Ovis aries: one gene and its partner. The protein of the gene in region 1 interacts with the protein of each later gene in a biochemical or structural test. Links are inferred from orthologs where the notes say so. Each region holds a gene or a part of one and is shown on either strand. Other genes may lie near its edges.

Region 1 (2,747 bases):
TAAGGGCCCCTCTGAGACCCCTTTTTTGTGATAATGTTTTGCACTTTTTCGTACAGGGGATGGGGGTGGGAGGGGCCAGGCCCCCTGGACTCTTGATGCTCCTTTTTTTTTTTTTTTTTTTTTGTGGGGGAGACCTGACGTTTCTGCTTTCTGCTGAGACCACCCCCACCCCTGACACCAGCAGTCCCCCTCCATCCTGGGGCCTGGCTCAGACACAAGCCAGGAGTTGGGGTTGAGCTGGTTTCCCTCCTTTTGCCCTGAGGGCTCACCCTCTCCCTTGCCAGAGGAGGAGGATGGATGTCCAAGCTGAGGCCCCGTGCACAGGCCAGGCAGTGCAGCCTTGCTTCCCTCCTTCAGTGGGCCCTGCCCTTTGTGTCACCTCCACCTCCATTAAAACTGCTCTCGACTTGCTGGCTGGGCCTCCTCCTCTCTCCCGTGCCTGGCCTGAGGCCAGGGTAGGCATTTGCTTCCCGAGGACAAGCGTCACACACATCAGGGGCTGCTGTAAGTTGGGGAGGAGGCCAGGCCCCCTCCCTTTCCCATGAGAATCTTTTATTTGCCCCAACTGAAGGGTGGGCATGGGGTGTTAAATAAGAACTGGAACAGGCAGGGTCACTGTACAGAGGGGGCCCGGAAGGGGCTGGTGGGTAGGGAGCGGTTCAGTGCACCTGAGGCTGGGGGCGCCCGTGGCAGAGCCCTCCTGGCGGCTCAGGGGGTGGGCCCAGCTTCTCTGTTTCCTGTTCCACCGACTGGCTCCCATAGGCACTGTCCTCCTTCACCTCTGCTGGGGGAGTGGACGCGGGAAAGGGTGCAGGGAAGCGTCAGGCCTTAGGCCTCCCACCCTCCAAGCCCAGATCCACCTCTCAGTTACGGCCCCTTTACCTGTGCTGGGCAGCTTTTCCTGGGTCTCTGGACCCTTCAGCAGCCTCACCCCCTCCTCCAGGCCCATGTCAGACAGGGCATTCAGCAGGCCTGCCAAGTCGCCACCAGCCAGCTGAGGAGAAGGAGGAGGCATGAACCAGGAGTTGTGGTTAGGGTGTGGGATCCCTGAGGAAGCGCCAGAGATCTGAGACTGGGGCATGGAGCATGGGCCGGGGCCTGACTGACCTGGTAACTGCGCAGGAGGCTGCCACTGGGCGAGGCTGTCCTTCGATACGTGTCCACCAGACTGCGCAGCCCCAGCCGTTCTGCCAGCTCCGCCCAGCTGCCCTGGGCTCCTGGCCCGTCAAGCAAATGCTCCAGGTTCTGTAGGACTGTATCTTCAAGGGGTATCTCTGGCCCTGAAGGGGACACACACATAAACATGTTAGTTACCCCCAGAGATGGCAAAGACAAGACACCCAAATGTCACCTTTATCTCAAGGCAACCTGATAGATAGTGCAGGCGGGGCCACTGGGGCAGTGGATGGAGGATGGGGATGGAGAAAGGGAGACCTCCTTCAGTGGTCCCGAAGGATAAGAGACCGCTGTGAGCAGGGGTCAAGGGTCTGGCAGTGGTGGGGGAGAGCTCTTCACCTGCAGGGCTGGGCGGGGTCAGCGGCGGCGCCATGGTGTCCTGAGCAGCGTTTAGCAGCAAGGTCTTCACCTAGGGAGACAGCTTCAGCCATGACTACCTCCCATCACAGTACTTGACCCCAGGTACCAGCTACTCAGGACCCCATGTACAAGCCCGGATGCCCCATCCCCTGGTACTGCTAGTCCTGGGCTGGCCTCACCTTGCTACTGCGAGTGAGGTCAAGAGGTGTGTGGCCCCGGAAGCTGCCTCGAGTGTCCCTCTCAGGGCTCTCAGAATCTGAGTCACTACCAGAGGTGGGAGGCGAAGGCAGTGGGCACAGGGGCTCCTCGTTCTCTGCGTGGACGTCAGCACCTGGGGGAGGGAGATAGTCACAGGGAGGCTCCCTCGGAGCCCACGTTAAGGACTGCAAAGTGCGGGATTGGGAGGTACCCCCTTTCCCCCGTCAGCCCTGTTCATAAGCCCCCGAGGGTGGGACTGACCAGCCTTCAGAAGGAGGCGGGTGAGGGTTGGGGATCCCAGTCCAGCTGCCAGATGTAGGGGTGTGTTTCCCGCAAAGGTTCGGGCATTCACGTTGGCCCGGAGCTGTGGGGTGCGAGGGAGGGGTTGATCATAGCACTGACTGATCCACTGGGCCTCCCCCGACACCTTCACCGTCCCCAGCCCTTGGCTCTACGTCTTCCACAGTCCTCAGTCCCACCTTGGTAACGAGATGGGTGACCAACCCCAGCTCCTCCATCTCTGTGGCTAGATGCAGGGCTGTCCGGCCCCCCTGACGCTCTGCAGCCTCCACTTCAGCCCCATTCTCCACCAGCAGATCGAGGCACTCGGGGCTTCGGGCACGGACTGCCAGGTGGACTGGGTATAGCCCTAGTGATACAGGGTATTCAGCCCGCAGCTCTGCCCCTAATGTGAGCCCTTGACCAGCTGACCTCCACACCTCACATCCACTGTAGGCGCTCCCCAGATCCTCTCCCTGGTGCCCACTCTTGCCCGCTGGTTCAGATGAGGTGATGAACTCACCTTCGAAGTCGGGCACATGCAGCAGTTGGGGCATGGCAGGAACCCCACTCCGCAGCAGGGTGCACAGCATGTCGGGGGCGCTGGCACCTGCCCGGAGTGCCAGGTGCACTGCTGAGTCTCCATGCCGATCCAGCAGTGCTGGGTCTGCGCCCACCTGCAGCAGGAAGCTCACCACCTTCGTCTGCCCTGTGATCACTGCCAGGTGCAGGGG
Region 2 (4,290 bases), on another chromosome or scaffold:
AAACCCCAAAGTAGCTCCCATGTTGTAAGCATGAGTGCTGTTTTGTTCTGTGCAATTTTTATTTCAAGTTTATATATGTGTGTGTGCTTAGCAAAAGGTAATAATGATAATAATAACATTAATTAATACAGATTGAGCACTACAAGGCTCTGTGCAAGGAGCTTAACATGTCTAATTCATATAATAAGTCAATCTGTAAAATGTCTTTCTCATTTTTGGCTTTTGGTAAAAACTTTAAAGCCCACTGCTTCAAAAACAGTCCTGGGAGGTAAGGGTTCTCAGGGTGCCCATTTTTCAAAAGAGGAAACTGAGGCTCAGAAAGGGAAAGGGGCTTCCTCAAAGTTGCATAGACGGGGAGACAGGATTCTAACTCAGTGCAGGTAACTTGAAAGCTAGTGCTGAGTGCCCCTGTGTTGCAGTGGGTGGGTGAGGTGGGAGGAGGGTTGGCCTCCCCACCCTTCTATTCCCTTCCATGAATGGGGGACTGTCACTCACGTATCTCCATCCTCATCAGCTCGCGTGGCCATGGCGATGTCAGCTGACAGGGGGTGTTCCATGGAGCACACCATGGGGTACAGAGGTGTAGGCAAGTTCAGCAGAGGAAAGGGGGAACCCATGGTCGGGGTGGGGTACAGGGACAGTAAAGGTCCTGGTAAGAGAAAGGACATGCATGAGGCCAAACCCACAGATCATCAGCCTGCCCCCCAGCTCCAGGCCTTCACTCTGTGTCGCCTGCCCTTTTCCCCTGGTTCCTTCTGCATCTCCTCCTGAGCCCTCAAGGCCCAAGACAAACTCCTCTACCACGGCCCTCCTCTGCGCTCCTGCAGCTCCCCTCCCCAGCCTTGGATATTGTCACTTATCTTTATTTCTGTCTGACCCCTCATCTTCTACTAGGCAAAGATTCTGCACTATCACCCAGCATGGGGACCTCAGGACCAGTTTGCTGAGTGAATCTGTGGCTGAGGAAGGTAAGGGTGGATGAAGCACCAGGTGGAGGGGGTGGAATGAATGTGTACAGAGTTTGGGGAGAGTGCATAGTGCCAGAATCCGGCATAGATCAAACTGCTGGAAGGCACTGAGGTAGCTGGCAAATCTACATCTACCCATCACTCAGGTGGGGAAAACTGAGGCTCAGGTTTTCATTGGGGAATGGGAAAGGGGAGAAAGCAGTGACAGGCCTCCTGATGGAGGGCTTGAAGCTGTATCCTGAGGGGATGAAAGGTGCAGAAACCGAGCAAAGTTCTGGAGGCCCAAGGCCTGGGGTCTCTGCAGCTCTGGGGGCCACACGGAGATTGTGACGCAGGCACAGCTGTGGGAGAGGCTGCCCCCTCCTGGATATCAGGGACGGAGACAGGATGGAAAGACTAGTGCCTGTTCTCTGTCATCTCATGGTCCTTGGGGGCTCCATTCCTGAAATCCCATTTCCTGGTCCTTGCATGTTCAATGCCAGGCCTTGGTGCCCTCAGGGCTTCTGCCCAGAGACCCCCAAATCCTCCCTGGCCCTATATCCTTTAGGCCCAGAACTCCCCACTCCTGCCCCCCAGTTCTTAGAATCCTCAGTCCCCAAATCCCCCCTAAGGCCTCCTGACATCATGACACCAGTGAGACACTGATCACTTGCAAGCACACAGAAGTGGGTGCTTGGAACCCCAGGTCTCTGTCCTGCTGACTCTTAGGACCCCTGGTATTGGGATGGGTTTCCTTGGGTTTTTGTGATCCCAGATATTGGGGTGCTCAGTACTCTCACTCTGTTCCCATCTTTTCCCGACATCTGGGTTCCTGAGATTTTGACAAATGGAGATATGTCTTCTTAGAACCCCAGCCTCTGTTCCCCTCACTCCCTTTGACCCTACATAAAGTTCAAGGATCCCCAAACCCCCAGCTTCTTGGGTCCAGCCGCTGATTCCTTATAACCCTATTTATCTGGGTTCTTAAGAGTTTATAATTCTGTGGTCCTGGGACTTGACTCCCTGAGACCCAATATCTGGACTGCTAGGCTCTGTCTCCTGGTTCCCTAAGGTGCATCTCAGATCTCAGGACTTCGGACACCCAGCTTCCTAGAGCTCTGGTGTCCCAAGGTGCTGGCGCTCTGAAGCTCCCATATCTGCACCCCTGGGACCTCAGGCTCTGCCCGCAACTCCCCAGGAACCCCCTCTCTGTGTCCTTGGGACCTTGGCTTTTGTCCCTCGGCTCCCGAGGCCCCCCTGTGTTAAGGTCGGAGCTCTGCCGCCTGACTCGGGTGGTGACCCTCTGCACTGCCTGCCCCCCACCCGGCCATGACCTGCGGAAGCCACTCACCCTGGTAGTAAATTGCCTCTGGTCGCGCCAGGCCGTGAGGGGGCGCGGGCACAGCTGGTGTGTCGGAGCCACCGCGGAGGGGATCCGGGGGGACGACGGGGCCCGCAGCGCCGCGCGGGGCGGCGGGCTCCGGGGACGGCGCGCGCAGAGGGCGCTTGCGGAGCGGCAGCGCGGCGCCCGGGGGTCCAGTGGCCTTGGGCCGGGTGCGCAGGTCCACGGGCCCCTCGTCCATGGTCCCCGCGGGGCATCGGGGCATGGGGCCGCCGGAGACGGCGGCCGAGCGGGCGGCCGGAGCGCGGCTGGGCTCGGCGGCACGGGAGGGTGGTTGCGCCGAGCGCCGGGACTTCCCCTGCCGCCGGCTGAACTGAAGGGACTTTTGTCGGCCCGGGCGGTGCCGGCCGCCCGCCTCCCCGCCCCCGGCCCCCCCGGGGCCACCCGTCCGCCCCAGGGGTTTCCTGGACCCGCCGCCGCTCCCGCCGTCCCGCGGTGCCGCCCGCCGATCGCCCCGCCCGCGCCGCGCCCCACGCCCGCCCCCTCCCGGCCCCGCGGCGCCCGGGGCGGCTGGGCCTCGGCGGGGGGCGGGGGCGGGCAGGGGGTGGGAAGGAGGCGGGGTCGCGGGGTCCCCACCCCTGCGGCTGCGGGCCTCAGGCTGCGTCCCCGCGCGTGTGTGTGTGTGTGTGTGTGTGTGTGTGTGTGTGTGTGTGTGTGTGTGTGTGTGAGAACGTCTCTTTCTGGCTGTAGGTCTCTATCTCTGTATCTCAGTCTGGAACTGTCCCTGACTCGAGGGTCTGGATGGATGTCTCTCTATCTCTTGTGTCTCTCTCTGTTCTCACTGTCTCTGTCTCCATCGTCTCTGGGCATCCCTTTCCGTGTGTCTGTCCCAGGAGCGCTGTCTGCTCTCAGCCTCTTCCTCTCCCCCTGACCCCACCTCCCCAGGGAGGCAGTTCCCAGAGGCCCTTGGGGTCGCCAGGACGTGGGTTCGATTCCAGACTCCCACTTCCTCGCTGGGTGACCTTGACCAGGCACTTCCCTTCTCTGAGTCGTTTCCTCCTTTGTGGGAGCGAGAAGACGCACCCAGGGCAGGGACTACCCTCGGCGGGCGCCCGGGCACGATCCCTCTGCCTGCCCTGCCCCCGTCTCTGCCTCCTCCATGTGCCTGCTCAGTTTGGGGTGTGAACTTCGCTGGGGGCGTGAAGGGGGGGAATGTTCGGTGGGGTGAGCACAGAGAAACCGTGAACGTGTCTCTCCCCTCGGGGTCCCATGACCCAGCCTAAGCCTCCGGGCACAGGGTGGGTGCCCCCGAAATCCTCGATACACAGAGAAACAGATGTGGCGAAAGGGGTCCAGAGGTCGTGAGAGGCCAGGTAAGAGGGAGACGGGGAGACAGCAAGAGCCGTAGGGTCACAGGATCAGAGTCACAGCGGCCAAAGCCCGGGTCCAGAAGACAGGGGGCTGGCGGGCTTCCCTTCTGCCCCCGCGTCCCCCTCCCATCCTGGGCGGGGTTGGTGGGTGGGGAACAGGCCAGGCTGGTTGGGGGCATGACTCAGAGGCAGGCTGGAGCTGGGGGCGGCGGGGCCAGGGGGAGGGAAGGACGGAGGCGGGCCTCTCCCATGACCCCGCCCTTGCCGCCCTTCTCCCCGCCCCGGGGAGGGGCCCAGCCGCTCGGGGCTTTCCCGGATTTCCCTGGAGGCGGGGCTGTCGCTGGGGTTGAGTCCCGGTCACTGACTTACGGGAGGTGGAGCGGAAGACTTGGGGGACCTAAAGGGGCGAGGGGATGCGTGCTGCACCCCGGGTCTGTCCAGGCGGCACGCAGGGTCTTCCTGGTTTTGTGTGTCTCCCCCGGTCTCTGGATCTCCTTCCCTGGTCTCCGTCCCTCTGCCTCCAGTCCCGCCTTGTCGCCTTGTCTCTCCATCTCTGTCTGCATCTCAGTCTCCCCATCCTGGGACCCTGAAAATGGGTGTAAGGCCCCCGGTTCTCAGGAAGGGACTTCGC

What was found.
Region 2: the proteins of NFKB2 (region 1) and BCL3 form a complex in vitro, tested with the Homo sapiens proteins (2 studies listed by BioGRID). The link is inferred for Ovis aries from reciprocal best matches to the Homo sapiens genes NFKB2 and BCL3.

What each region holds. Positions count from the first base shown.
Region 1 is NC_056075.1:22,795,740-22,798,486, reverse strand, and holds the end of NFKB2 (nuclear factor NF-kappa-B p100 subunit), read right to left. Parts: coding exon 2,537-2,747; intron 2,384-2,536; coding exon 2,214-2,383; intron 2,099-2,213; coding exon 1,996-2,098; intron 1,868-1,995; coding exon 1,716-1,867; intron 1,586-1,715; coding exon 1,516-1,585; intron 1,281-1,515; coding exon 1,108-1,280; intron 995-1,107; coding exon 883-994; intron 785-882; coding exon 660-784; 3' UTR 501-659; downstream 1-500. UniProt on the Homo sapiens protein: NF-kappa-B is a pleiotropic transcription factor present in almost all cell types and is the endpoint of a series of signal transduction events that are initiated by a vast array of stimuli related to many biological processes such as inflammation, immunity, differentiation, cell growth, tumorigenesis and apoptosis.
Region 2 is NC_056067.1:52,307,989-52,312,278, reverse strand, and holds the start of BCL3 (B-cell lymphoma 3 protein), read right to left. Parts: upstream 2,801-4,290; 5' UTR 2,555-2,800; coding exon 2,299-2,554; intron 969-2,298; exon of another isoform or gene 895-968; intron 650-894; coding exon 496-649; intron 1-495. UniProt on the Homo sapiens protein: Contributes to the regulation of transcriptional activation of NF-kappa-B target genes. In the cytoplasm, inhibits the nuclear translocation of the NF-kappa-B p50 subunit.